Linked DNA regions of Oryctolagus cuniculus. The protein of the gene in region 2 purifies or fractionates together with the protein of the main gene of each other region. This does not show direct contact. Links are inferred from orthologs where the notes say so. Each region holds a gene or a part of one and is shown on either strand. Other genes may lie near its edges. The genes, in order: PPP2R1B, PPP2R2D, PPP2CB, CDCA4, PPME1, PPP2R1A and SERTAD4.

What was found.
Region 1: the proteins of PPP2R2D (region 2) and PPP2R1B purify together in Homo sapiens (affinity purification with mass spectrometry; 4 studies listed by BioGRID and IntAct, counting the BioPlex papers as one, with this or other methods). This does not show direct contact. The link is inferred for Oryctolagus cuniculus from reciprocal best matches to the Homo sapiens genes PPP2R2D and PPP2R1B.
Region 3: the proteins of PPP2R2D (region 2) and PPP2CB purify together in Homo sapiens (affinity purification with mass spectrometry; 6 studies listed by BioGRID and IntAct, counting the BioPlex papers as one, with this or other methods). This does not show direct contact. The link is inferred for Oryctolagus cuniculus from reciprocal best matches to the Homo sapiens genes PPP2R2D and PPP2CB.
Region 4: the proteins of PPP2R2D (region 2) and CDCA4 purify together in Homo sapiens (affinity purification with mass spectrometry; 3 studies listed by BioGRID and IntAct, counting the BioPlex papers as one, with this or other methods). This does not show direct contact. The link is inferred for Oryctolagus cuniculus from reciprocal best matches to the Homo sapiens genes PPP2R2D and CDCA4.
Region 5: the proteins of PPP2R2D (region 2) and PPME1 purify together in Homo sapiens (affinity purification with mass spectrometry; 4 studies listed by BioGRID and IntAct, counting the BioPlex papers as one, with this or other methods). This does not show direct contact. The link is inferred for Oryctolagus cuniculus from reciprocal best matches to the Homo sapiens genes PPP2R2D and PPME1.
Region 6: the proteins of PPP2R2D (region 2) and PPP2R1A purify together in Homo sapiens (affinity purification with mass spectrometry; 9 studies listed by BioGRID and IntAct, counting the BioPlex papers as one, with this or other methods). This does not show direct contact. The link is inferred for Oryctolagus cuniculus from reciprocal best matches to the Homo sapiens genes PPP2R2D and PPP2R1A.
Region 7: the proteins of PPP2R2D (region 2) and SERTAD4 purify together in Homo sapiens (affinity purification with mass spectrometry; 3 studies listed by BioGRID and IntAct, counting the BioPlex papers as one, with this or other methods). This does not show direct contact. The link is inferred for Oryctolagus cuniculus from reciprocal best matches to the Homo sapiens genes PPP2R2D and SERTAD4.

Annotation. Positions count from the first base shown.
Region 1 is NC_091432.1:103,722,085-103,726,278, reverse strand, and holds the start of PPP2R1B (serine/threonine-protein phosphatase 2A 65 kDa regulatory subunit A beta isoform), read left to right. Parts: upstream 1-1,394; 5' UTR 1,395-1,438; coding exon 1,439-1,552; intron 1,553-2,333; coding exon 2,334-2,424; intron 2,425-2,836; coding exon 2,837-2,937; intron 2,938-4,194. Other genes in the region: alpha-1,2-mannosyltransferase ALG9, read left to right, coding at 889-1,078. UniProt on the Homo sapiens protein: The PR65 subunit of protein phosphatase 2A serves as a scaffolding molecule to coordinate the assembly of the catalytic subunit and a variable regulatory B subunit.
Region 2 is NC_091446.1:1,029,650-1,033,149, reverse strand, and holds part of PPP2R2D (serine/threonine-protein phosphatase 2A 55 kDa regulatory subunit B delta isoform), read left to right. Parts: intron 1-103; coding exon 104-281; intron 282-2,156; coding exon 2,157-2,321; intron 2,322-3,500. UniProt on the Homo sapiens protein: Substrate-recognition subunit of protein phosphatase 2A (PP2A) that plays a key role in cell cycle by controlling mitosis entry and exit. Involved in chromosome clustering during late mitosis by mediating dephosphorylation of MKI67.
Region 3 is NC_091433.1:80,852,010-80,856,027, reverse strand, and holds the start of PPP2CB (serine/threonine-protein phosphatase 2A catalytic subunit beta isoform), read left to right. Parts: upstream 1-1,218; 5' UTR 1,219-1,221; coding exon 1,222-1,323; intron 1,324-1,981; exon of another isoform or gene 1,982-1,996; coding exon of another isoform or gene 1,997-2,035; intron 2,036-4,018.
Region 4 is NC_091451.1:47,066,231-47,070,522, forward strand, and holds the start of CDCA4 (cell division cycle-associated protein 4), read right to left. Parts: upstream 2,801-4,292; 5' UTR 2,644-2,800; intron 2,483-2,643; exon of another isoform or gene 2,369-2,482; intron 2,357-2,368; exon of another isoform or gene 2,222-2,356; intron 2,100-2,221; 5' UTR 2,052-2,099; coding exon 2,031-2,051; intron 1-2,030. UniProt on the Homo sapiens protein: May participate in the regulation of cell proliferation through the E2F/RB pathway. May be involved in molecular regulation of hematopoietic stem cells and progenitor cell lineage commitment and differentiation.
Region 5 is NC_091432.1:65,501,875-65,505,374, forward strand, and holds part of PPME1 (protein phosphatase methylesterase 1), read left to right. Parts: exon of another isoform or gene 1-858; coding exon 859-923; intron 924-1,517; coding exon 1,518-1,585; intron 1,586-3,387; coding exon 3,388-3,406; 3' UTR 3,407-3,500. UniProt on the Homo sapiens protein: Demethylates proteins that have been reversibly carboxymethylated. Demethylates PPP2CB (in vitro) and PPP2CA. Binding to PPP2CA displaces the manganese ion and inactivates the enzyme.
Region 6 is NC_091449.1:6,415,854-6,419,822, forward strand, and holds the start of PPP2R1A (serine/threonine-protein phosphatase 2A 65 kDa regulatory subunit A alpha isoform), read left to right. Parts: upstream 1-1,169; 5' UTR 1,170-1,177; coding exon 1,178-1,264; intron 1,265-1,806; coding exon 1,807-1,908; intron 1,909-3,888; exon of another isoform or gene 3,889-3,969. UniProt on the Homo sapiens protein: The PR65 subunit of protein phosphatase 2A serves as a scaffolding molecule to coordinate the assembly of the catalytic subunit and a variable regulatory B subunit.
Region 7 is NC_091444.1:25,080,555-25,084,599, forward strand, and holds the start of SERTAD4 (SERTA domain-containing protein 4), read left to right. Parts: upstream 1-1,245; 5' UTR 1,246-1,385; intron 1,386-4,045.

The DNA.
Region 1 (4,194 bases), on a different chromosome or scaffold from region 2:
CAACATTTGTCTCCAAAATCGCATTTCTTTTTTTTTCTTTTTTCTTTTTTTGACAGGCAGAGTGGACAGTGAGAGAGAGAGACAAAGAGAAAGGTCTCCCTTTGCCGTTGGTTCACCCTCCAATGGCCGCCGCGGCCTGCGCGCTGCGGCCAGCGCACCGCGCTGATCCGATGGCAGGAGCCAGGTGCTTCTCCTGGTCTCCCATGGGGTGCAGGGCCCAAGCACTTGGGCCATCCTCCACTGCACTCCCTGGCCACAGCAGAGAGCTGGCCTGGAAGAGGGGCAACCGGGACAGAATCCGGCACCCCGACCGGGACTAGAACCCGGTGTGCCGGCGCTGCAAGGTGGAGGATTTGCCTAGTGAGCCGCGGTGCCGGCTCAAAATCGTATTTATTAATAAGACAGAAAAATATCAGAGCTTGTAGTCCTCCTATGTAGTTATTACTTGAATTCCAGTCAAAAGCAGGGACAGGACATCTAGGTATTCTGTGTTGCCCTAACACGGGTAAATGAAAACCTTCCCTTGAATTTCTGCAGGGAAAAACTCCCAGACCCCCACGTTCCCCCAGGGCCGCCTTTGAGGACACTCGGGTCTGGGGAGGCCACGTCAGGCTGTCTTGCAAGGAGCACAGGAGCCACTCCACGCAGTTTGCAAGGATTAGAGCTTGTCCTAGTTTTGCTTGATTGTTGTACTTCTTGCATGCTAAAGAGCTAAAAAATGGGAGGAAGAAAATACAACAGAAGGCACCATTCCAGTACCAAACTGAAAAGAAACATAAAAACAAGAGAGCAGCATGTTTTTAACAGCTTGCGTGGAAAAAATATTGACTGGGGAGTTTGGACAGCACTGTTCATTTTCTCTCGCCGCCCGCGTTATTTGTCTTACAGAGTAGGAGCCAGATACAACTCTGGCGAGCAGGCTCAAGAAGAGGTGGAGGGGTTCTGTGGAAGCTTGATCCTGAGTGCAGAGATGAAGCCTGGAGACCCAGTGGCTCAGGGCCAGGATGAAGGCAGGGGAGGCGCTAAAACCTTCTTCCTCCTGGCCTCGGACACCCTTTTTGGCCGGCCTGAGTCCTAATAGAGCACAACACTGATCGCTCACGGAGGTACCTGCCTCCTTCAGACCACAACGAGCAGGATGAATCCCTGCCCCTGTTTCTTTCGGCTGAGGAAAGGACACTGGGCTTCCGTTCGCTTTCACAGCCCACCTTTCTTCTGGAGTTCGGACCTCCGCCTCCTGCAATGGGGGTCGGGCGGGAGCCTCCATCGGCGGGGCAGAGGCTCGGTGCTCCCACCTCCGCGGAGCCCGCGCCGAGGCCTCAGCCCCGCCCGCCCGGGCGCGGGGCGGGGCTCGGGGCGTGGCGCGGGGCGTGGCGCGGGCGCGGGGCGGGGCGCGGGGCGGGGGCTGGCGGCGGCGACCATCCGGAGGAGAAAGAACATGGCGGGCGCGGCGGGGCCCGGTACCGGCCCGGGGGCTGCGGGCGGAGATGGAGACGATTCGCTATATCCGATCGCGGTTTTAATCGACGAACTCCGCAACGAGGACGTGCAGGTACCGGACTGGGGCGGGGAGAGCCGTGGCGGGTTGGTCCGGCGTCGCTCAGGGTAGGGAAGGGGGAAGCCCGGAGCCGCTGTGAGGGAGGCCGGGAGGTTGAAAGAGCCGGACGCGGAGCAGAAACTCGAAGGGGAAGCTGGAAAGACTCGCGAGGGGCTGTGGCGCCGAGCCCCGGCCCACCGCGGGGCCTCTCCAGCACCCCTCCGTCGGGCTTCCGACCGTCCCGGGCTGTTGTCGGAAAGCCGGCTTCCCGCCTGGGCGCCCCGTTGCGGGCCCAGCGTGCGAGCCCTCGGGAGGGGCGCAGGGCCGGGCCGCGTGGGAGCTGGGCGGCCTGCGGGTCGCAGGATGCCAGAGGGCCCTTTGAGGTGCAGCCCAGCCTCTTCCCCTGGGCCTGGAAACTGGCTGGGCCTGTTGGGTAGAAAGCGGGTGGCCTGGCTGAGGAACCTAAGTGAGGCGGTGTGTCTGCTTCGGTGTAGGTTGTATTCAGCCGTCTCACCTGCTTCGTCGCTGCCGGAGTTCTGGCTTTTTAACATTGTCCCGCTTGCTGAGTATTTTCTTTCATTCCTTTCTCTTCGGGCCCTTGTAGAGAGTTTGGCCTAGGAATCCTCCCTCTGGCTAATAAGGCTGTGTTACATTACTGTTCCTTACCAATGAAGTGTAAATGAAAGATTATCCTTATTCCTAGACCTGTTAGTTAGTTCACCTGTTTGCTCCTGTTGCCTTTTGGTCTACATTGCAATCATTTTTTATTTTGTTCTTTCCATTTTCTCCTGTAAAGCTCCGACTCAACAGTATTAAGAAGTTATCAACAATTGCTCTAGCACTTGGAGTAGAAAGGACAAGAACTGAACTGCTGCCATTCCTTACAGGTGTGTGAGTCTGTGTTTCAAGAAAGGCACGGACATTTCCATTTACCAATGGCTTTCAGAGCTTTGGCTGTTTTTCAGAGTTTGTTGTCCACAGTATCAAAAAGCACCAAATTGAGGCTGGTATTTTCTGTGCAAAAGAAATTCAACAACACATATGGTAATGTTGTGGCCAGATACGTACAAACATTAACTGTGTATAGCTAATGGGGAAGTCACTGATATGAAGGTATGAATTTCTAGTTCATTCTGTAAATCAGATCCAGGAAAACTGTTCATTGAGGAGAAAATACTGTTAGGATTGGGACTGGATGTTTTTACTATTTACATATTGAATCTATTGCTAGTTTTATGTGAGTGTCCAGCTCTTGGCCAGTTACCTTGTTGGTGAGTACCTGGTTGTTGTCCTTTTCAGATACAATTTATGATGAAGATGAGGTACTGTTAGCTCTTGCTGAGCAGTTGGGAAATTTCACTGGCCTGGTGGGAGGTCCAGACTTTGCCCACTGTCTGCTGGTGAGTATTTCTATGCTGCCTACCCTCCTTCTAGAACCTTTGCAGTATAAATGATACATTGTTTGGTGATAGGCATAACAGCAGTATATTTTAGGCAGCTCATTTTATGGATAGATGCTCATAGTGTTAGCCATTGAGAGAATATATAATGTAAGCACTTTGGATTCAACCCTGTCTTATTATTTTCTATGAATAGAAGTTCTTTATTTTTCTGCCTCCATAGACTTACTAATTTAAAGAGAAAAAAGATTTGGTTATTTTTATGGGTCCCCTCCCCCCCAGTAAAATTGGAAGTCTTGTTTTTCATCCAGCAATATTTTGTCTTTATAGTGTAACTTTTGCTTCTGACTTACACTGTGATTTTGGTCAGTTGACATTTATTGAGGGCCTGCTATATGAGGCATATTGTAAGTTACAATGTTAATGTCAAAGAAAGCCAAACAAATGTAATGAGATCTTTGTTTTTGGTCACAAATATTAGGGTACAATCTTCAATGGGGAAACATAAGCACATTTAAGATACCCAAATAAGAGAGGAGAAAAGAATTAAGGTGATTAGGGGAGACTTCTTAACAGTTGATGTCTGAACTGTTTTAAGAAATGATTGGGTTACAAAGGGAGTAGGGCAGCGTGTGCAGTGGTTTAAACCACCAGCTGTGATATCAGCTAGGATCCCATATGAGCAAGTGCTGTTTCAAGTCCCATCCAGCTCCTTGCTAGTGTGCCTGGCAAAGCAGTGAATGATGGCCCAAGCACTTGAACCCCTGCTGCTCACATCGAAGACCCTGAGGGAGATCCAGGCTCCTGGCTTCTGCCTGACCCAGCCCCAGCCATTGGGAGAGAGTGAACCAGCAGGTGTAAGATCTAGATCTCCACCTCGATCTCTGTCTACCTTTTGAATAAATAAAATAAGTCTTAAAAAGACTAGGATTTCAACAGTTGGACAAGACAGATATGATATATGATACATGTTTCAGGACTTTACTGTCTGATGCTTACTCTTTCTGTCTACTTCTGAACTTTATGGAACCCCACAAGTTGACAGATATGGATTTAGATATATACTGTACCTAGTTATCACTGAAAGTGTGTATCTTTCTGTAATGTTCCTATTTAGATGTCAAACAGGTATTTGAATTTTTTAAGATATATTTATTTGAAAGGCAGAGTTACATAGAAGAGAGAAAGACTTAGAGAGACAGAGATCTTCTACCTGCTGGTTCACTCCCCAAATGATTGCAATGGCTGGAGCTGGGC
Region 2 (3,500 bases):
GACTGGGCGTGTGCTCTGCACGACACCAGCTCTCGGCCGTGAAGGTCTGTCCCAGTCCCTGCTATGTGGTCGTCATTTCAATTCCTGTGCCTTCCGTTTACAGGTCCCCATCTTGAAGCCCATGGACCTTATGGTGGAAGCCAGCCCGCGGCGGATCTTTGCGAATGCTCACACGTATCACATCAATTCCATTTCAGTGAACAGTGACCACGAGACGTATCTCTCTGCAGATGACCTGCGAATTAACCTGTGGCACCTGGAAATCACGGACAGAAGTTTCAGTATCCTTCCCCGCACATCCCATGCCTGCTTCTTTCTTTCTTTTTTTAAGATTTACTTATTTATTTGAAAGTCAGAGTTACACCAAGAGAGAAGGAGAGGCAGGGCCGGGGGTCTTCCACCCGCTGGTTCACTCCCCAGATTGCGCCAGTCTGAAGGCAGGAGCCAGGAGCTCCCTCCAGGTCTCCCACACGGGTGCAGGGGCCCAAGAACAAGGGCCATCTTCCACTGCTTTCCCAGACCGCTATAGCAGAGAGCTGGATCGGAAGTGGAGCAGCCAGGACTTGAGCTGGCGCCCATACAGGATGCCACACTGCAGGCAGCGGCTCTACCCGCTGTGGCACAGCGCTGGCCCCTGCTTCTCAGTCTCACCGCACGCTGCACACTGCTTAGAGCCAGTGCTGTAAGTTCCCCGTGAGATAAAGCACTTTTCCCTGAGAACACGGCGTTGTTCTGCCTTTGGGGGAGGTTCTCAGTGTGCTGGGAATGACCCGAAGGCCGTGGCCCGCGTGGCTCCGCCAGTGGCAGTGTTGACCAGGCTGTGTTGCGTGTTTTTTCTTCTACATTGCTGACAGATCATGAAATGGCGGAAGCTTAGACGAGGGTGACGAGGGTGGCATTTCACTCCCTGCCTGGGAGCAGTGTGGCGTGGGGCTTGCGCTGCCTCCGGGCAGTCAGTCGTCAGCCGTGGCCTCGTGCCCTCCGTCGCCTGTCCGGCTGCTGCGCCCGGGGCCATGTGGATTCTGGGCAGAGCCCCAGCCCTGCTCACACATGCTCTGGAGACTCGGCCTCCTGCCCGTGCTGCCCCGCACTGAGGTCACGGGCCTGGCTGGGCAGCTCCTCACGCTGAGCCCTGCAGCCTTCCCGGAACCTGCTGCCTCCTCTCGGACTCGCTGGGCCCCTCGTGGGCTCCCCCCGCCCCGTGGCCCGCACGTGCCCCAGCCAGCAGGCCGGGCAGACAGGGCTCACTGTGCATCTCTCCCTGCCCGCTGTCGGTGTCGGTGACTTCCCCTGGACAGCCGCGGGCTAGTCTCTCCGGCACAGCTGCAGCGGGCGGCCAGGCTGACCCATCGTGGAATCCTGACTTCCCTCTTGTCTCAGTTGACTGGTTTCTACGTGGACGTGGCTCCAAGTATTCAGAGCAAGCTCTCCATGTCAGATAATCAGATTCTCTGTGGCAGTATTGGGTGTGTATTGGGTGTGTGTAGCGTGCGTCTGTTACTTTTTCTTGGTGGTTAAACACACGCTGAGAACAGCAGAGAGGTGGTCCCTGCATGGCCCTCCGTGCTCCGTCGTCTGTTAGCGGGCTCACGCCTGCCCCCCTCTGTCCCGTCCCTGCATGGCCCTCCGTGCTCCGTCGTCTGTTAGCGGGCTCACGCCTGCCCCCCTCTGTCCCGTCCCTGCATGGCCCTCCGTGCTCCGTCGTCTGTTAGCGGGCTCACGCCTGCCCTCTGTCCCGTCCCTGCCATGACCCTCCGTGCTCCGTCGTCTGTTAGCGGGCTCACGCCTGCCCCCCTCTGTCCCGTCCCTGCATGGCCCTCCGTGCTCCGTCGTCTGTTAGTGGGCTCACGCCTGCCCCCCTCTGTCCCGTCCCTGCATGGCCCTCCGTGCTCCGTCGTCTGTTAGCGGGCTCACGCCTGCCCTCTGTCCCGTCCCTGCATGACCCTCCGTGCTCCGTCGTCTGTTAGCGGGCTCACACCTGCCCTCTGTCCCGTCCCTGCATGGCCCTCCGTGCTCCGTCGTCTGTTAGCGGGCTCACGCCTGCCCTCTGTCTGGTGGCTGCTTTGCTCTGAGCCTTCCACCTCCCTGTGTGGTGACGTGTTCCCTGTTGAGGGCAAACTTGGCGCTGAGCCCTGAGCCTTAACGCTGCTCCGCAGACATCGTGGACATCAAGCCCGCGAACATGGAGGAGCTGACGGAGGTCATCACGGCGGCCGAGTTCCACCCGCACCAGTGCAACGTGCTCGTCTACAGCAGCAGCAAGGGCACCGTGCGGCTGTGCGACATGCGCTCGTCCGCCCTGTGCGACAGGCACGCCAAATGTGAGTGTCCCGCGGCCACCAGACAGGCGGCTCCCTGGGGCCCACACGGCAGGCTCCCGGCGGGCAGTGCTGTCTCCCTCGGAGCACTAGCGCCTGGGCCGGGCTGCGAGAGCGCGTCTCACCAGTGAGCTCTGCTGGACCTGGAGCCAGGTCCCTGAGGTCTGGCGTTCGAATGCGTGCAGTCATGAGAAGAACGGTGGTGGCTTTGTTCTTACTTGGCCCGACTCTGTGGAAAACCACAGTCTGCCATGGTGTTTGGAGACAGGCGTCCTGGAAACCTTGCTGGTCCTCCCCCAGGCCGGGCAGGAGCAGGTGCAGCTGCGCCCGCGGAGCAGAGCGCACTCACCAGCCCCAGAGCCGCCAGGCAGCGCCTGTGGGACCTCTGTCAGCTGCAGCCTCAGGCACCCTTGCTCATCCTCACCCATTGACTCTAGCTGTTGACAGCTTTCTGCCTCGCTCTCTTCCTCAGACTAAGTGTGTTAAGGATTCGGCACCCCTGGGGAGAGTGTGTGGCACGGTGGTTTAAGCCATCCCTTGGGAAGCCTGCATCCCACATTGGAGTGCCTGCAGCCAGGCCCCAGCTCTGCTTCCAGTCCAGCTTCCTGCTAATGCAGACGCCCGGAGGCAGCAGTGAGGCCCCAAGTGCGGGGTCTCTGCCCCCCACCCACAAGGGAGACTGGTCCTGGCTTCAGCCTGGCCCAGCCCCAGCTAGTCTTGGGCATTTGGGAAGCAAACCTGCGAACAGAAGCTGTCTCTGTCTTCCTCTCTGCCTTTCAAATAAATAAAAGTAAACTTAAAAGGGGGCGTTCTGTGCTCCTGTGCCTGCTACAGGGGCCTGCGGCGCAGAAACCCTGTCCCATGGCACTTGGGGAGGGGCCGTGTCCTCTGATGCCTGCCCGTGTCTTCATGGTGGCACCTAGAGCAGTTTCCTGTTCCTGAAAGTAAAGCTTTGTTTTTGATTGGAAAGACAGCTAGAGATCTGCCATCTGCTGATCCACTCAGATGCTGCAACAGCCGGGGCCGGGCCAGGCTGAAGCTGGGAGCCCAGAACTCCCATCTGCGTCCGTGTGTGACTGACAGGGCCCACCTGCTGTCTCCCAGGGTGTGCCCTGCAGGAAGTCGGGTTGGACTGGAACGCACTCCGACAAGGCGCATGGCGTGCCGAGCGCTGTCCTAGCC
Region 3 (4,018 bases), on a different chromosome or scaffold from region 2:
TGGAAGATCTCTCTCTACCTTTCCAACTTTTTCAAAATAAATAAATGCTTTTTAATAATTCAGTTCAAAATGCTCCCATTCTAAAGCTCTTTGAAAGTGTTCCCCAGGACAGTAAAAACAACAGACACATGGCTCCCATGGTGTACCACGGGACAGGCACTTTCAACCTCTGACTCTCAGAGCCTGAGAAGGGAAGCTGATGCTTGAGGAGGTGTGGCGACTGCCAGGTCAGGAACACTTGCCCTCTCACCCAGGATGCCGCCTCCCTCTGGGGTTCCGCCCAGCACTGCGAATCTCTAAGGGAAGAAGTGTGGGTGGTTAGCATGTGCCGGACAAGGTGCCTGGCCAGCAGCCGGCAGCCGGCACCAAGAGCGTGTTGACCAAATCATTACACCTCGGTAAACACTGCTGGAGCTGGAAACGACCCAGACGATCGCACAAAACAATCATTTCATCTTCCCGATATTGCAAGCGAGCGTTCGAGACACCCGGCTAGAAGAAATTTATTCTGTAAATAATTGAATGCCTGCTTCGGAAGAGTGCCTGACGCTGGGGAGAATAAAATTCCTTGTCCAGAGCGGCGGAAACGCACTGCGGGAGCTTAAGGTGAACACGAAGTTGCCCTAGGACAAGATGTTGGGGAAGAAATCAGGGGAGCCAAGACCAGGCTGGGAGGAAAAGACCAGAGAAAGCAAGAGGACCGGACAGGCGCCCCCGACCCCGGGTCCCCAGGGCCGTTTCTCCGCCGAGCCACGCGAGGGCGCTGCTCCGCTCCTCGCCGGCCGTGCCCCGGCGGCGCCGCCCGCTCGCCTCTTCCCGGCGGAAATGCCCGGGCGATGACGGAAACCCTCAGGGAGGGGAGAGAAAGGGCGAGAGGGTAGGGGCTACGGAGCCGGGAGAGGGCGGCGGGCGGCGGCAGCGGTCGCGGGCGGCCATCGCCCGGCGGGAGCTGCGTCCAGAGCGTCCTCGCCGCGCTCCCCCACCCCCCCCCCGACCCCGACCCTTCCGCTTCCCCCACAGACTCCCTGGGCGGGGACGGACGCGGGGTGCCCTCGGGGAGCCGCCCGCTGGACTTGAGCCGGGTGCGGGGCCCGCGGCCACCCTCCCCAGCTCCTTCCTGTCCCGCTCGGGGCTTGGCGGCGGCGGCGGCGGCGGGTGAGGGGAGCGGCGCCCGGGGCGGGGGCGGGGGCGGGGGCGGGTGGGGGAGGGGAGCGGGCCGCCATGGACGACAAGACGTTCACCAAGGAGCTGGACCAGTGGGTCGAGCAGCTGAACGAGTGTAAGCAGCTCAACGAGAACCAAGTGCGGACGCTGTGCGAGAAGGTGAGGGCCGGCCGGGGAGGAACGCGGGGCGCTGGGCGGCGGCGGCGGCTCCCCTGCCCGGCCTGGCCGCGGCTCCGCGCCGGCCCCCGACGCCGCAGTCGGCTCGGGGCAGTGCCCGCGCCCCCGCGCTGCCGACTCGGGTGTCCGCCGGGAACGGGCGTGACGGCCCGAGAGGGACCCGACCCCGCGTCGTCGGGGTCGGCCAACTTGCTCCCGCGCGCCGGAGCGGTGGGCGTGATGGCAGACGGTGGCTTTTTTAAAATAGAGGTGCGCGCAGATGGCGCCCCGCACGGCGCGCGTGGATTGGCGGCACCCGCGCCGCGAGGCCGGAGCTCGGGGACAGTTCGTGGAAAATGCCTATAAGGATTAAAGACTGCTCGTGGATTTAAAAATCGGTTTTTTACACCAAAAAAAAAAAATTTCTTAAAGTCCCGTCCTGTGAGTTGTCATGCAGGGTGGCACTTTTCAGAAAGTTGTTTCCAGTCCCCAAACGGGGGTAAACCCTGCAGGCAGTGCATTGTTGTCAGGTGTCTGGTCTTAGCTTTCTGAATTCGGAAGCCATTGTTTTGTGAACCCGTGGAATTCTCACCTGTGCAGGTGGTGTACTTGAGAGCCTCCAGTTGTTCTTCATTCATCATTTGCGCTGTGGACTAATTAGTTTTCATGTATTCGTATGTTGGAAAGTCCCCTTGGAAGTCCACGAGGTACTGGAGTAAGGAGGTTATTTTAGGTTATTTTCTTAAATGTGTTTGAAAGCCCGCATACCTCAGAAAAGCACTGAGGAAGTAATTTTTTAAGCCTTATTAGTAGGGCACTTTTAAAAAAAAGACAGATTTATTTATTTGAAAGGCAAAGTTACAGAGAGGAAGAGAGAGATCTCTCATCTGCTGGTTCACTCGCCAAATGGTGGGGGCCCTGCCCGAGCCAGGAGCCGCCTCCAGGTTTCCCACGCTGGTGCATATTAGCAAGGAGCTGGATCAGAAGTGGAGCAGCCAGGACTCAACCAGCCTCAGTCATCAAGTAAAGATGTCACCCGTTACATCACAGCACAGGCCCCAGTAGGGCACTTTTTAAATTATGCAACTAAAGGATGGAGGGGTAGCCACTGTTTTTAACAAGTGCCCAGGGAGCTTACATATTGAATAACTACATGTTATTATTTCTGCAGATAAAAGTGAATTTGAATTTATTTCTGCAGATAGAAGTGCCACAGAAATGGTATATTTCTCTTCCTGAAGCAAACTGCTTGCTTGTACCTTCATTCCACATTTGTGTGTGTGTGTGTGTGTGTGTGTGAAAACCTGTGATTTCATGGGTCTTACAATTTACGCTTTACTAAACTCTCAAGCTCCAGCATCAAGTTTGAGTAATTAGCTGAATTGGTTAACCTCCCTGTGAACGTCAGATACAGACTTGAAGTTATGACTAAAGTGGTAGTTGAATCAGTTTTTCTTTTTGACTTTCTAATAATTTTAATTTCCTAGAGGAGACTATTTTACCAGTACATTGATAATTGCACTCAAATCTTAAATCATGCCAGGAAACTGTGTATTTATCGAGAGATTATTTTTACTTCACCTCCTAAATAAGTTGAACTACCTAGGATCTTACAGCTATAGTTTACTTACGCGTTGACCTGTTCTATCTTTGATTGTAGTTATCCACAAAATGTGAAGCTCAAGTGAAGATCGCCTTGCATTTGTGTTTGTGCTCTGTGCACTTTGATAGAGTTGCCAGTGGAGCAGAGTGCCAGTAGTTCAGCAGCTCTCAGTGTAGCCGCCTTGTTCTGGCAACTATGGCTTACTTTTGTGGCATATGTGGTGCCTCCGTATCTGTGCTGGATTGGTCCAGGTCCTATAAGAATACCAAAAGTCCCCATGCTCAAGTCCCTTTTATAAAATGTGCAGTGTTTGCATGTAATGTACATACCTCCTCTTGTGTATATATATATATATATATATATTTTTTTTTTTTTTGACAGAGTTAGAGAGAGAAAGGTCTTCCTTCCGTTGGTTCACTCCCTAAATGGCTGCTACGGCCGGCACTGCGCCGATCCAAAGCCAGGAGCCAGGAGCTTCTTCCTGGTCTCCCACGCGGGTGCAGGCGCCCAAGCACTTGGGCCATCCTCCACTGCCCTCCCGGGCCACAGCAGAGAGCTGGACTGGAAGAGGAACAACCGGGACTAGAACCCGGCGCCCATATTGGATGCTGGTGCCGCAGGTGGAGGATTAGCCAAGTGAGCCACGGCGCTGGTCCCTCTTGTATATTTTTAATCATCTCTAAGTTGTAACACCTGATATGAAAATATTATGTAAATGGTTTTTATACTGTGTTTTTAGAGAATAAGAAATAGAATGTCTGTGTTCAGTACAGAGGCAGTTTTTCCCCCATATCATAATTTCTGGTTGGTTGAATCTGAGGATATATCTCTATGGATATAGAGTACCAACTAGGTACTAACCTAGGGTCTACCTGTAGTCCTTAGTTCTGGTTTTATATCCCTACCTCATGCTTGTTGTTAATAACAGGTGTAGCGTTCCACCCGTCTGGATTCAAATTGTGCTCCACTTGCTAGCTGCCCATCTGGCACCTTTGACTTCTTACCTGCCAGGCAGGGATCATATTCACTGATCTCTTGAACTGATTATATTAAGATGGTGCCCGTGTGTGGGGCCGACATTGAGACATAGAGGGT
Region 4 (4,292 bases), on a different chromosome or scaffold from region 2:
GGAGCCCCGGGGGAGCAGGAGCATGAGGGCGGTCCCTCCTCAGAGGTGTGCAGGGCAGAACCGGCGCCACCAACACCCCTCTCAGGAGCCCCCGAGGGTGCACCCGACAACAGAGGTCCCGTCCTCCCAAGCACCCTGCACACTTCAACACTCATCACAGGAAGTGGCCAGGTGAAGGGCCCCGAGCATTCCCTGTGGGAGGGGCCATGCTCAGGGGGCGGAGCCACACCCTGGAGGAAAGCTGTGGCCTCTAGGGGAGGGGCTCGAGCTGCCGCTGGTCCAGGAGTTCCAGCACCCGTCTGACGCCGGTGCAGCCGCCAGGACGCAGGCCAAACCGCGACCTCACCAGATGTGGGCTCTGGGTACAAGAGCCAGGACGGCCCAGCACTCCGCAGCTGCCTGTGTGTCCACACACGTCACAGCACAACGGTGGGAGTGTGGGACCACGGCCTACTCCCCCGGGACAGCAGGCAGGCGCTCCCCCCACCACGGCACCTGCTCACGGCCGCTCCCCCACTGTCTCGAAACGGAAGCCATCAACACCGAAACACACAAGGAGATCAGTGGCCAAGAGGCCACACCCTAACGGGGCCCTGGGTTCGAGTCTCAGCTCTGTGTGCAGTCCAGCTTCCTGCTGCTGCGGCCTCCCTGCCTCGCCAGCAGAAAGTGGAGACCCAGTCACCCCTGCTGCCCCGAACACAACCCCACGTCCAGAGTCCTGGCTCGGGCCACAGCCTGCAGGGCCGGCACGTCGGGGAAGGGTCCGGCTGCTCCACTCCTGACCCAGCTCCCTGCTAACGGCCTGGGACAGCAGCAGAGGACGGCCCGGCCCTGGCTGTCGCAGCCATCTGGATGCTAGACCTCCCTCCCTCCCTCCCACTCTGCCTCCAAATAAATAAATAAACCTACAAGTCAATGGCTTAAAACCGCCAAGTACGGCGAGCATCGGAGGCCCCGGGCTGGGTTCCCTGTGCTGACCCCCCACCGGAGCTAAAACGCCGACTCGGCACGGCCAAACCCCTGTACCGCAGGCCGTCTGTCCGGTGGGGGCCGCTCGCCAGAGGAAAGAGAACACAACCGAGGCCCGGCAGGGGCGCGCTGGGCACCTGACCCCCGCCACAGCCTGCTTCCCACGGGCCTGGGGCCAGACGCAGCCTCCTGGGAACCAGGCGCCGCTCACCGCACCGGGAGGCACAGGCGCACACACACACGCAGGCACACGTCCCCCGCACACGCACACACACACACACACACACAGGCACAGGTCCCTCATACACACACAGACCCCTGCACACGCACACACACACAGGCACAGGTCCCTCTCACACACACGCAGGCACATGTCCCTCACACACACACACATGTCCCTCACACATGGACACACATCTCTTGCACACACAGTCCCCCCGCACGCACACACACACACGCAGGCACACGTCCCTCATACACACACAGACACACACACAGAGGCACACGCCCCCCCCCACAGGCACACGTCCCTCTCTCTCTCTCTCTCTCACACACACACACACACACACACACACGCAGGCACATGCCCCCCCACAGTCCCCCCGCACGCACACACACAGGCACAGGTCCCTCTCACACACACGCAGGCACACGTCCCTCACACACACACACATGTCCCTCACACACATGCACAGACACACATCTCTTGCACACACAGGTCCCCTGCACTCACACACACGCACACGTCCCTCACACAAACACACGCCCCCCGCACACACGCAGCTCCCCGGCACACGCACAGGTCCCACGCAGGCACACGTCCCTCACATACACGCACACACAGGCACACGCGCAGAGGACGGAGCTCTGGACAGGGCCGCGGCTGCCCCAGGCGGACCTGCTGGCCGCGACCACCCAGTGACTTCCGGAAACCCCGGCCCGGCGGCCGGCACTGGACGAACTCCCAGCTTCGGGCCTTTGTCCCAGGCCCGGCGCCCAGCACACGGAGGGGCCTCTCCGCCCGCGCCCCCAGCTCCCGGGCCGCCCGCGGCCAAGCTCACCGTCCCCGCCGGCAGCTCCATGCTGGCCCCGCGTCCACGCCGCCCCGCTCTCCTCCCTGCCCGGCTGTCCTGCGGAGAAAGGACATTTTTAGGAACTCGAGGCAAAGGCTGCCCCCAGCTCCACCCCGCCCCCCGTCCTGCAGCGCCCCCGCAGGTGCGGGCCGACCCCGGACACCGACCCCCAACCCCACCTGCAAAGAGCGAGCCCGGGGCCGCACCGGTCCGCCGCGCCCCGCAGAGCGAGGCCCACCTCTCCCTGAGCGCGGACGAAGCGCCGCGGCCCGCGGGGACAGCGCCCTCCCGCACCCGGCCAGGGCCCCGCAGGACGCCCGGCTCACCGGCCCGACACGCGCCGAGGACCCACGGGCGGAAGCCGGCCGCCGAGAAGCCGCGGCCCCAAGCCGGCCGGGCCGCCCCGCCCAGCACGTGACCCCGGCCCGACGCCGCCGGCCCTTCCGGGGACAAAGGCCTGCGCCCCCGGCGCCCGCCCGCCCGCCCGCGCCGGCCGGGCCTCCCCGCTCGAAGCCGGGCGGCCTGGCCGCGCCCCGCGCCCTCCCGCAGCGCCCGCGCCGGCTGCACCCGGCCGCCCCCCCAGCCCGCTCCGGACGCTCACCTGCGCGGGGACCGAGCCCGCGCCGCCACCGCCGCGTCCCGCCGACGAGGGAGGGCCCGGCCGGCGCGGGGCGGGGCGGGGCGGGGCGCGGCGCGGCGCCACTCAGCGCCCACAAAGGGTCGCCATGGCGGCCGCCGCGCGCCGCCCTCGCCGATTGGCCGAGCACGGGGGCGGAGCCTCGGGTTCAAACCTGCTTGGGGCGGGGCCAGGCTGCGCCCGTTCCCGCGCGGCGGCGGCGGCCGTTGGGCGCCTCACGTGCCCTCGGCGGCCCCGCCCCTCCCGCCAGATGCCGTGAGCGGCTCCCAGGATTCCTCGGGCCCGGCCCCGCCCCCAGGCTCCCAGAGGGCGGGGTCCTCGCGCCTGGCCACGCCCCTGACTCCCAAGTCTCCTCGCGCGCGTCCCTGAGTGCGCCTGCGCTGGGGATTTCCAGGGGGCGGGCGGGGCTGTGAGGCTTCCGCGTCCGTGCCCTGCAGGTGCAGCTCCCGGGGCGCCCCCGCCCGGGCTGGTCCTTCGGCGATGCCCAAGGGCTCGGGCCCTCGGGCCTGGGAGCCAAATGCATGACCTGGGGGCCGGGGCGCGGCGGCTGGCGGCGGCCTCGGGCCCGCGGCTTCCGCGCCCCGTGCGTGTGGGCCTGGGTCGCCCACCCCCGGCTCCGGGAGGCGAAGCGGCGCCGTGCACCTGGGCGGCCGCTCCGCTGGAGCTGGGACAGTCGGGGCGTGGGGGGCGGCCTCCTCCGGGCCGCGCAGCCGGGCTCTGGGCCTCTGGGTCCTGTCCCCGGTGTCGGGGCCGCATGGGTACCGGGGCGCCGAGGGCGTGGGCCCGCCCCGCCGTCTCCCGTGATCCCGCTCTCCGGGGCGCCGTCCGCATCTCCCCACATTCTCTCTTCGCGACCCCGGCACCCACGGCAGAGCGCCTGGAAAGCAGCCGAGGAAGCCCCAGGAGCGGGGCCGCCGCCGCGCCGGAGACCCGCAAGAGGCGCCTGGCTCGGCCCGGCCGCTGTGGCCTTCTTGAACCAGCGGATGGGAGGCCTGCCTCTCCGAATTACAAATAGATAAAAACTTATAAGATTTTATGTATTTGAGAGGTAGAGTTACAGACGGTGAGAGGGAGAGACAGAGAAAGGTCCTCCATCCACTGGTTCACTCCCCAGATGGCCGCAACGGCTGGAGCTGGGCCGATCCGAGGCCAGGAGCCAGGAGCTTCCCTGGGCCTCCCACGCGGGTGCAGGGGCCCAAGGACTTGGGTCATCTTCCACTGCTCTCTCAGGCCACAGCAGAGAGCCGGATTGGAAGAGGAGCAGCTGGGACTCGAACCGGCGCCCATATGGGATGCCGGCGCCGCATTTGGAGGATTAACCTACTGCGCCAGGCGCCCGCCCCCAAATAATAAAATTTCAAAAAATACGGCGCCTGGCCCACCTGCTGACCTGACTCTGGCTTGGCGGTGCTGCCCCCTGGTGGCCGCGCGGTGGTGCTTGCGTGACAGCGGAGCGGAGGGCACCTCGTGGGCTCCATCCGGGGAAAGGCCTGGTGCTAGTGGACTGGGCAGGGCGGAGGGACGGCGGGGAGCCCGCGTCAGCGTCCAGCTGGCTTCCCAGCTCCCGCGCTGCTGACGTGAGGTCCCTCTCTCCAGGTCTAACGCAGAGCCCC
Region 5 (3,500 bases), on a different chromosome or scaffold from region 2:
GCTGAGAAATTTCATGAGATGGTCCTGGCTTAGCTCTCCAGCCTCACCATTAAGTAACCACCTGCCCAAGCAGCATGCTCAGCTGCTTTTAATTCCAGCAGTAAATACCATCCCAGTGCTGCTCTCTTCTGTGTTAGGCCATTTTTTCTATGGAGGAAGCCTTCTGGCTTCCTACTGGATTGTGAAGCTCTTTCCCTCTGCTCTTGCAACCCTACCCAGTTTTATCACAGGAATTACATGCTGCATGAAAATGTTGGTTTTGTGTCTTACTCCCTTCTGGTCTGTTAATTCCTTGAGGATCAGAGGATTTGTCTTCTATGTGTCTTTTTTTTTTTTTAAAGGGTTTATTTATTTGAAAGAGGGAGAGTGAGTGCGAGTGAGCAAGCCTACATCTGCTGGTTCACTCCCTAGATGGCCACAAAGGCCAGGTGCTAGGAGATTTACCTGGGTCTCCTATGTGGGTGGCAGGGGCCCAGGTACTTGGGTCATCTTGTGCTGCCTTCCCAAGGTCATTATCAGGGAGCTGGATTGGAAGTGGCGCAGCTGGGACAAGACCCAGTGCCCACAGGCATCACAAGTGCTTGCTTTACTGGCTATGCCACAACACCAGGCTCTTCTGTGTTTCTTACCCCAAGGTCACTGTACACTAAGTAGGCACAAAAGGAAAAGTGAAGGGAAATGATTGAGGGTTACAGTGTTACCATCTTCATCAAAGAGGCGGTAGGTAATCAGTATGGAGTTGGGGCTGGGGTTGAAATGGGGCCATCTTGGGCTCCTGGAGTGACCTGAGAGGCTGCAGAGGTAGTAAGGGAGGGCGGTATGAGTGCCTGAGGTTGCCTGGCTTTATTTCCTCTCCAGGGAAGTTCCAGATGCAGGTCCTGCCCCAGTGTGGCCATGCAGTCCATGAGGATGCCCCTGACAAGGTGAGTTTGGTGCTTCACGACAGGACAACTGTGAGAGCGACTTTGGATGGCCCAGGAGATAGGACAAGCCTCTGAGTATTAGCCTGGGATGCCTGCAGCTGCAGGGAAATCCAGGCACCTGCAGCCACCAGCTTCCCAAACATGGCTCTAGCAGCTGCCTGTGGGCTTGACTTTGTGGGTGGGGCTGAGGACCTGTTGTGTCCTTTGCATTTCCTCTCAGGGCCCTATGATTGAGATCTTAAGCTGTGTTGCTCCCAAAAGCCAGGTGGAAGAAGGGATGGTTGAGGGTAGAAACTGTTCCCTAACCTAGTCACAAATAGGAATGAACATGAACTACTCCTGTGGGAAAAAGGAGCTTCATAACTCAAAGGGGATAAATAAGTCCCATTCCTCTTGAGCTTGCTGGCATTCCCTGAAGGATGATGGGAGTTTGCTAGCCCTGCCAGGACCCAGGTCCTTTTGGTTTCAAGCTACCCAGACTTGTGGGACTCAGGAGGGCATTACATAGCTTAATTTTCCAACAGAAGCTCTCAAGACTCCAAGGGTAAGCACCATCACAAACCTTCATATGGCCCGGAATCTCTCCCTTTTCAGGTAGCTGAAGCTGTTGCCACTTTCTTGATCCGGCACAGGTTCGCAGAGCCCATCGGAGGGTTCCAGTGGTAAGTACAAGGGTGTAAGATCTCCATGAGCGCTGCCCAACCCAACAAACAGATATTTGCCTCACAAAGCCCTGCCTATGTGGGTCACCTTCCTCTTCCTCCACAGAGAGGCTGGCATGTGTATTTCGGCAAAGCTGTGCTTAGTTACTTCTCTGTGCTCTGGTCCTGTGGGTTGTTGCTAAGGTGCGATTTCATCATGCCTGGTCTCCCAGCCCCTCACCGCGATGTGCATTTCTTCTTGAGGTACCCCCTTTTCGAGGAGGCTGAGATGGGAATCAGCCTCTGTGCCTTCTGCCCTGCTGCTGAGCAAGGCTGGCTGGACCCAGAGATCCCACAGGACCCTAGAGCAGCTTTCTCAGCCTCAGCATGGCCGCCGTTTTGAGATGGGTTGTTGTTTTGCTATCGGGGCCTCTTCTGCACATGGTAGGATGTTCAGCAGTGTCCCTGTTCTCTACCCATTCGATAGCAGCAGCACCTTCCACACATGGTTCTGCAAACCACAGCTGTCTCCAGGCAGGCAAAGCTGCTCCCAGTTAAGAACCACTGGTCTGCAGAAGCAGGGAGTGCAGGCCTCTCCCCCTAGGAAGCTCTTCAGCTGCTTAGGGAGACACAGTTGGGCTCTGTGTTAACCCAGCAGGTTCTTGCCCCCCCTCAAGCCTACTTGTCTGTGCTGAGGAAGGCCCTGGGTCCTCAAAGTCCACGGTCTGATGAGTCACATCTGCCATTTGAAATCCTTCTGATTTTCAGAGTTCAGGGGAACCTGTTCCCTCCTTCAGAAAGTTTGAACAAGAACTCTGAATGCCGTGAGTTGGAGGCGAGAGTGACAACAGGATAAGAGCTTGGAGCTGTGAGCCATAGGAATGACACCCTCATGTTGAACCATTCCTCTAGCAGCTAACCATTGATGGGGCCCACAGTCAGCAAAGACGACTTAGTTTCTCTTTTTAAAATTTTTACTTATTTGAAATTCAACCTAGTAAAAATAGATACAGAGATCTCCCATTTGCTGATTCATTCCCCAAATGCCTACAATAGCTGAAGCTGGGCCAGGCTGAAGTCAAGAGCTGGGAACTCCAACTGGGTCTCCCACATGGGTGACAGGGACTGCAAGTACTCCACCTAGCACCTCTTGTCTCCCAATGCATGCATTAACAGGAAGCTGGAATTAGGAGAGAGCTGGGACTTGAACCCAGGTACTGTGATACGGGATGCACATATCTCAAATAACATCCTTTTTGGGGAGGATTGATTTATTTGAAAGGCAGAGTTAGATGGATAGAGAGATCTTTCATTCTCTGGTTCCACTCCCCCAATGGCTGCAATGGCCAGGACTGGGCCGGACCAAAGTCAAGGAGCCTGGTATTCCATCTGGGTCTCCCATGTTGGTGGAAGGAGTCTCAAGTATTTGGGCCATCCTCCATTGCAGTCCCAGGTGTGTTAGCAGGGAGCTGCATCAGAAGTGGAGCAGCTGGGACTCAAACCAGTGTTCTTATGGGATATGGGCATTGCAGGCAGTGGCTTAACCTACTGTACCACAAAGCCTTCCCCTCAAATAGCACCTTAAACACTACAACCCTCTCCTAATACCCTCCCCTAATTTCTTTTAAACAGTGTTAGAGGTCTCTGGGCTATTTGGAACATGCACTCAGAGTAGAAATTTGGTCCCAGATGGGCCTGTGAGGAGGTGGGACAGATCTTCAGGGGCCTTGGTGGTCATTAGGGAGGGTTGGCCAAAGGAGCCTGGGGAAGCAGGGGAAAGCTGGTGATTGGTTACATTTTCATCCCTCTCTTGCTCTTCACAGTGTGTTTCCTGGCTGTTAGTGACCTGCTCACCACCCCTCCCTCAGCATCGAGCTCTGTTGTAAATACATCGCACCAGAGGCCACTGTGATGCCGCTGTCTCCTCACCATCCTG
Region 6 (3,969 bases), on a different chromosome or scaffold from region 2:
GGGCTGCTGAAATGGGCCCAGTAACTAGTCGGCTGTGATTAAGGCGGCGGTGACCGCGGTCTCATTTTCCCTTTCGGCCTCAGTTCCCGCCTTGGTAAAGCTGTGCGGGTTTCCTTGCACGAGGAAGCCTGCCGAGCTCCGTGGGTTGCAGGTGCTGGTGGCACCGGGCTGTGATTGTAGTCCCGGCCCTTGCACTCCTCACTGATGGAGATGGGCAAGTGAGTCCATCTCCGCAAGCCTTCGAGTGGGGCTGCTGTCTGGTCCACGTAGTGCTGATGTAGAATGCGTTTGACAGACACCTGCTGTGTCTCGGGGTGGTGCTGGGGGGGTAGCGGTAGTTCGGGTTGCTGTGCGGGAGACAGAACTCAGTGTCCGATGTTATTAACACGTGTAGGCAGTGTGGAAATAAAACAAGGGGCTGTGATTGTGAATCAGTAAGTATCTGGGGGGAGTCTGGGCGCTGGTGTGCAGCAGTCAACACACAGATAACAACTTCTGGCTTTGTTGACGCCCTAGTGAGGGAGACAATAAACCCCATGTTAAGTAAAACTTAACCCCGGACGGGGACGCCGCTTTAGAGAGGTCCGGGGAAGCCTTGCCAAGGAGCTGAGGTTTGGCAGACACCGGTGGAGACCAGGGAAGGAGCACAGCACGGGCAGAGTGGGGTGGGGATGCGTGGTAAGGAGGCCTGCAGGGAGGGTACAGACTGTTTTTGTTAAAAAGATTTATGTGTTTGAAAGGCAGTTAGAGAGCTTTTCCCTCTGCTGGTTCACTCTCCAGAGAGCTGCAGTGGTCAGGGCTGGGCCAGGCCAAAGCTGAGAGCCAAGAATTCTATCCATTCTCCCACGTGGGTGCAGGGACCCATCTGGGCCTTCTTCCTCTGCTTTCCCAGGCGCGTTAGCAGGGAGCCGGCTCGGAAGTGGAGCAGCTGGGACTTCCTCGGTGCTTACTTGGGCTGCTGGCATTCCAGGTGGTGCCCTGCTGCGCCACTGCGCTGGCCAGCTGAGGATGCAGATTTTGAGCGAAGGTGCTTCCAGAAAGAGAGGGGACACACGGGGGCTGTAGTTGTTAACTTAGGCGATTTTGCTCACCAGAAGACATTCGGCAACATCTGGCGAGGTTTCTGGTTGGGGTAACTAGAGGGTTGTTTCTGGTGTCTTGTAGGTGGAGGTCAGGTATGCAGCTGAACATCTTGCAGTGCCACAGGCAGAGACCTACCCTGTGGAGCTCACTCGCTTGTGCAGGCAGAGAGAAAGAGCAGATGGTGAGGAGTGCCGTGGAGACAAGTAAAACAGGGTGGGGTGGGGAGGCCTGGCCAGCGTGGCTGTGATCCGGGCTTCGCTGGAGTGGCTGAGCAAGCCTTGCGGAGGAGGTGAGATTTGAGTAGAGGGATGCAGGGAAGTAGCAGGCCCGTGGATACCTAGGGATAGCATTCCAGGCGGAGGAAATGAGTACAAAGGTCCTGGGCTGGTTTTGATGCTGGGAAATAAAGTTGAAGAGGAAGTGAAGTCCAGCCTTTGGAAGGACCTTGTCGGCCTCCGTTTAAGCCAGGGATTGGCTAACAGCCACCTGTGCCCTTTCCTGCTTTTCTAAATAGAGTGGTTGCTGTCTGTAAACTGAGATACGCCCATTCAGTTGTAGGTTGTCTGTGGCTGCTTTTTCTGTGCCGAAACCACCCAGTAGAGGAGTTGTTAGCAGATGGCCTGGTTCCCAGAGCCAAAGTACTTTGGTCCCTTGTAGGTAAGAACCGGCAACCCCTGACTACAGCTTCCCTGGTATCAGATTAGGGTGCTTGCTCTGCCCCAGGTGCTGGACAGACATCGGGCCTCAGTGTTTACGTGCTTGCTGACTTACATGCTGCTCTTACCGCCCTTCGGAGCAGGCCTTGTGCTTATCTACATCGCACAGGTGAGGAAGCCTGAGCTCAGGAACCAGAAGTAACACAGCTGCAGCCCTGCAGCTGAAAGGAAGTAGCTAGGACCAGAAGGCAGAACAGAACTTGGGGTGGGCCAGCGCCGTGCGGGCGGCATCCAGATGCTGGTGGGTCTGTGTCTTTAGTGAGACAGTTCAGGGTGCTGGAAAGCCTGGAGCCTTGATTCGCTTGTTCAGCAAGTATCCATCCAGCACCTTCTCTGTGGGGACCATGCGTTAGAGACCGGAAGTACAGCAGGGGGCAGACCTGCAAAGCTGCTCCTCTTGTGGGTTTCCATTCCAGGGAGGGGGACAGAAATAAATCTGTAATGTGATGTCAGTCGCAGTCGTCGCTAAGAAGGAAAGAGAGGCAGAGACGGGGACCGAGTGAGCGGAGCCTGCTGCACTGGATGGGGAGGTTAGGGAAGGCTGCCCGGAGGACACCTGCGAGCAAGGGCTGGAGTGAGGTGAAGGACGGACAGCACAGTGGCCGTCCCAGCCAAGGGGACTGTTGCTGCGAAGGCTGTGAGTGGACGTGACGAGGCCAGTGTGGCTGAAGCAGAGTGAATGGCCAGGCGGTGGGAAGTGAGGCCTAGGCTGGGAGGCCTGTGGTTCTGGATGGGGGTGAGGGTGGGGAGGGCACTGCAAGGCCTTACTAGGGGAACGTCCAGTGACCGATTCTGAAGGAGTCCTGTGACCGTGGGGTAGGAGCAGCAGGGCTGGTGCTAGCCGTGGGTGGAGCCAGGCTGTGTCAGGGAGGGCAGAGCCAGTTCGGTGTGATGCAGTGGGCGAGGTAGAGTTGAGGGGGACAGGTCGGAGCCCCAGTTGGCTCCCTGAGTGCCCTCGCAGCGGTACCTTTCCGTTTTGGGGCCCAGCCCCCAGCCTGCATCTGCCTGGTTGTGGAGGTGCAATGAAGCCGGCTGCCTCAGAGTGGGTGTTCAGTACTGGTGACCCCATTCCGTCGTCCCGATGGCTCACAGTTGGATCTTGGAAAAGTGAGGGAAGACGGTGGTGGTGGTGACATGAGTTCAGCCACAGAGTCACCGGATCCCCTAGTCCACTCCTCCCCCAAACCAGTGAGATGCACAGGCCTAACCGCGCTGTCCGGGGTGCTCGGGGCACCGTGCTTCTTGAAATGTGGTCAGCTGTTCAGAGGGCGGGTTTCAGAGTCACTCTCCACGCCTAGGGAAGACAGGGAGGAGTAATTTAGCAGCTGCTGGGGTGGTGAGGACAGGGCTGGTGCACGTACCGTGTTTACAGCTGCATGTACTCCGAGCCGTGGGGAGGTGGTGATGGAGTACAGGAGGCTTCTGACTGGTGTGCATGGCGTGTTTTACGCTGTTTCTTGGGTGTGTAGGGCAGAGGTTCTCAGCGTGGGGTGACGTCCCCCGGGGGGTTCAGCAGGCTCTCTGCTGTGAGGAGAGCCACTGACTTCCGTGGGTGAGGTCCTGGACATGCAGCACCCTGCAGTGCGCAGAGTCCCCAGCGCGAAGTGGCCCAGACGTCGGTAGTGCCGGGACTGAGACCCTGCTGTGGGCTGCGGAGTGTGCCGAGCGCTTTGTGTTGATTGAATCCTCACAAACGCTGTCTTAGATAGGTACGAATCTATTTCCATCAACATTTTTTTAGAAGATGTGTTTGTTTGAAAGGCAGAGTTACAGAGAGGAAAGAGAGGTGTTCCGGCTGCTGGTTCACCTCCCAAATGACTGCAGTGGCCAGGGCTGGGCCGAGCTGAAGGGAGGAGCCCAGCACCCCATTGGGCCTCTGCATGGGGGGCAGGGACTAAGCCCTTGGGCCGTCTTGCACTGCTTTCCCAGTGCATCAGCGGGAGCTGCAGGTGGGAGGGAACCGGTGCTTGCAGGCGGTGGCCAACTCTAAGGATGCTGGCCCCATTACCATCTTTACTTGTCAGATTTCAGACAAAAGTAGAGAAAATAGTGTCTGACACCCAGACTTAGCAATTTTTTCAAGATTTTTTTTTTTTTTTTTTTTTTTTTTTTTTGACAGGCAGAGTGGACAGTGAGAGAGAGAGACAGAGAGAGAAAGGTCTTCCTTTGC
Region 7 (4,045 bases), on a different chromosome or scaffold from region 2:
TACAATTCTAGGAAATAAACATGCAAATCAGATAGAGTTCAATTTGCAGATGCTAATCCTCACCCTTGATCTTGCTCCTTTCCTCCCTGATTTTCAGGCTCTGCGCCTCCTTGGTTCCTGGGGAGCCAGGCAGCCAGAGGTTTGTCTTTCCACAGTCGGAGGATCACTGTTTTAAAGAAGTGTTATATTTAGCACATCTGGCGGAGTGCAGTAAACAAACATTACAGCCTCTGTAACACGTTCCTGCAGGTGCCTCCCCTCGGTTTTATTAGGTTTCTGCCTTCCAAGCCTCTGCGTTCATTACACCTGAAATGACCCATCTCGTCTACGGAGCGGTCCCCAGGCAGAAGTTACCAATTCATGTTTCCAACAACAAACTCCGATGGAGCCCAGCACAGGGGGAAATTGCCGTGAGCGAAAGAATGGGATTCTGGGGCTGCAGTTACGTTCTCCTGACCAAGGACAACCTCCTTTATTACTTTCTTTTTATTTCCTGGGGGTTTTCCCCGCGGCTCCCCACGCAGAATGAGTTGCCAATGCAAGCTGCAGCAGGACCTAGGCTGCTTTTTTTATACCTACAGATGCAGCCCAGGAGGGGAGCGGCGGAGCGGGAGGCGAAGGGAGCACACCGCTGGGTCCTGCACGGACATCTGTTTCTCATCTCGGTTTGCTGTGGCAAAGGAGAAGAAAGTCTTTTGCAAAGGGTGGGAAAAGCACAGATTTTTTTTTTTTTTCAAGTCGCACGCACACACAATAACAGCCACGAAACTAAACCAAATAAAGACAGACACGACGTCTCGGAAGGTTGCGGCGCGAATCCACGGCTCTGCTGGAGCCGAGCCCCCGGGGCCAGGGCGGGAGCCCGGGAGCGCGTGGGGTCCGGGCTGCGGGCTGGAGCAGGGCCCGCGTGTCCCCGGGCAGCGCGAGGGGAGGGGCGGGGAGGGGCGGCGGAGGGCGGGCGGGAAGCCGGGAAGGAGGCAGGGGCGGGCTGGGGTGGGGGTGAGGGGAAGGCGCCCCGTGTGCTTCCTGAGGAGCGGCGGCGGCGAAGGAGGAGGGAGCGCGGGCGCTTGTCATGTTCCCTCTCTCGCCCCGGGGGCATCCTGCACAGCCTCTCCTCGGAAATCCACGGGGAAATGGCAAACAGGATTGACGGGTTTCACGCGCTCCTAGCTAGACACAGCCGCTCATTACCATAACCGTCTGCAGCGACGGCGGCGCAGCGCCCCAGCCGCGGCGGGGACCTGCCGGGACCCTCGCCCGCCGCGCACCAGCGGCCACCGCCGACCGGGCCGCCGGGCCGGGACCCGCGCCTCTGTGCACCGGCGGCCGCGCTGGCGCCAAGCCCGGAGCGGACCAGCGGCCGCCGCCTCCCCGCTGACCCCGCGGTAAGAGCCGGGCTGAGCGCGGGCCGCGGGGGCGGAGGGCCGGGCGGCTCGGAGGGCGAGGGCAGGTGCCCAGGGGCTCCTGCCCGCGCGCCCCCGCCACCCTGGGGCTGCGCCGGGGCCACCGGGTGGCCTCGCGGCGGGCCGGAGCGGGACCCGGGCGCGGCGTGGGGGCCGGGGCACAGCTGCGCGCGGAGGCGGCGCGGGCTTTTCCCGGGGTTGGCGTGCGCCGCGGCGCCTCTCCCAGGGCGGGAACCGCCGCCGCCGCCTCCGGGGCTGCTAGCTCCGGCTGCCGCCCCCGAGCACGGAGCGGACCCCAGGGGCAGGTGCGGCCAGCAGCTCGCGGGGGGAGACCTGCGCTGGGTCTCTCCTCCTAGGGGACCGAGGTCCGCAGGAGGGAGGTCCCCAGATCTGGACGCCGCGGCGCACGGCAGGTGGGGAGGGAGGGGTTGTGGATGTCAGGAGCGCGCGTTTGCGAGAAAAAAGAATCGCTGCGGGAGCTGACACCTTCTGTCCCCCGCCACCTCCGCCCCCGCGCCCTCCTCCCAGGCAGCCGAGCCGCGCTGCGGGCGGCGGCGGCTCCTCTGTCCTCAGCTCACCTCCCCGGCGGGCTGGGGCTGCTGCCCGCCGGGTCCACGCCTCCGCCTCTCTCCCCCCTTCCTTCCCTCCCGCCTCCTGGGTCCCAGCAACTTTCCCGAATGCCCAGCTGCGGCCGCACCAGCGGGGCCGAGGCGGCCTCGGACCGCTGGGAGGTGCGCGCTCCGGGCGCTCGGCGGCCGCGGCTCCGGGTGGGATGGGCCGGCGAGGAGGGAGGCCGGGCCGGCATCTGCTGCGGGCTGGAGCGCGGGGCCCGGGCCAGCCTCGCCAGAGCCCTGCCAACCGCCGTGAGTCACTTCCTTGGAATCCTACCTTTGGTGTTTATTTCCCTTAGAAGGAAACTTGGTTTAAGAAAAAAAAAAAAAAAAAAAGAAGAGGGAGACGAAAAGAAAGAATAATAATAGCTCTTATTCTGCAGGAGAGGCGCAGGGCTCTGGCACCGTGGAAAGACAACTTGCCTTTGTTCCTAGACACTTGGGGTGCTGGTGACTTTCACCCGCTGCCGGGCTCAGCTCGCGAGCTGGGGCAGGGGCTCGGGGCTGCGGCGCTCGCCTCCGGGGGCTGGGGCTGTGTCCGAGCACGAGCCTGGACGCCGTAGCCGCTGCCCGCCTGCAGGGGATGGACCTTCCAAACCCAGGACCCTGACCTTGGGCCTCTGCTGGGAAAAGTCGGGGGCCAAGCCAAGCCTCGGACACCCCGACACCTCTCAGTGCTCCCTGGGTTCCAGCATAGCCTTCCCAACTCCACCGCCCAACCTGAAGCCCTCGGCCTCGCGGGGCTGGGGCAGAGAAATGCGCTTCCCAGGGCAGACAGGTGTACCGCAGGGACTGGCAGGAAAGCGACATCTGTCTGTTTAGAAGGGTTCAAGGCTGTCACTCCACCCACCGGCCCCTTCCAACACCGCCACGAGCCAGACAAGCTGTTGAGATTTTGTTAGGGACAATGTGGAGGTCAGGGGGCTGGTTCCACCTGGCACACGTGTGAGACTGCTGTGCTGGCAGCCGCAGCCCAGCAGCTCCCCTGGGCTCCTGGGCTCCAGCCAGTGCTCTCTAACTGCTGTGATGCGCTTCAGAAATGCTGCCTGTTCTCCGAAGTCACAGGAGAGGAGAGAGGTGTGGGCACAAAGCGGCCAGAAGGGCCCCCCACCCCACCCCGTTAGAGTCCAGAGGCCACTAGCTCAGGGCTGCCCTGGCCAGTGTGCCAGCCGCTCCTGTTAGCACCACAGTGGCACCAAAGAACTGACAAGCCCAACTCTTCCGGAAGAACCAATGTGTATAGAAATGCCTGGTGACTTTGCTGTGAACGTTTGCTGGAAGAACTTGACATTTTAGCCCCCAGTCTCCTGGGGATGTTTGAGAGGTCGTTCATTCCACAACATCCACTCGGGTGACAGAACAGACTCCCAAGCACCTGCTGGTAATTCTAAGCACAGACAAAACACACTTTGAACATCCTCCATTTGGATCTGCCTGCCTCTGCCGGTAAAGAAACAAATGTTGCCACCATCTATACCCCTGGGGCTGTACTTAATTGTTATCAGCACATGGAAATTTTAAAAATTAACAGCACATAAATTTGTGGTCTTGAACTTCTGAATTCAGCAGCAGAATTATAATGTAAATCTCATACAGGGAGTAATGCCAGTTTGGATTCCTCCATGTGTTACAGATAAAAATTCCCATGAAACAATGGTGCTTAGTACTGCACAGTCCAGCTTTTCATGAGCGTTAAACTTCCCTTCTTAATTTGTTAACATCCTGGTGTAAATTCTAAATAGACCAGGAAGACTCAATTGCAAAATCTCCTCCCCATTCTCCAGTAATCCCAACTCATTCATGTTTTATTCAGATTTACATAAATCACTGGCAGAACGCAGCCTCCCCAGTTTAGGATGTTGCGTGTAACCGGTTTCCAATTCAAAAAAAGGAAACCTTACCAAAATTAGATATTGTAAACAAAAGAAACAGGATAAAAACTATTATGTCACATTTCAAGTTCAAATGCATAATGATAGAATTTCATATGCTGGGGAACAAGACTAACACATACCAACTCTGGAGTCCCGG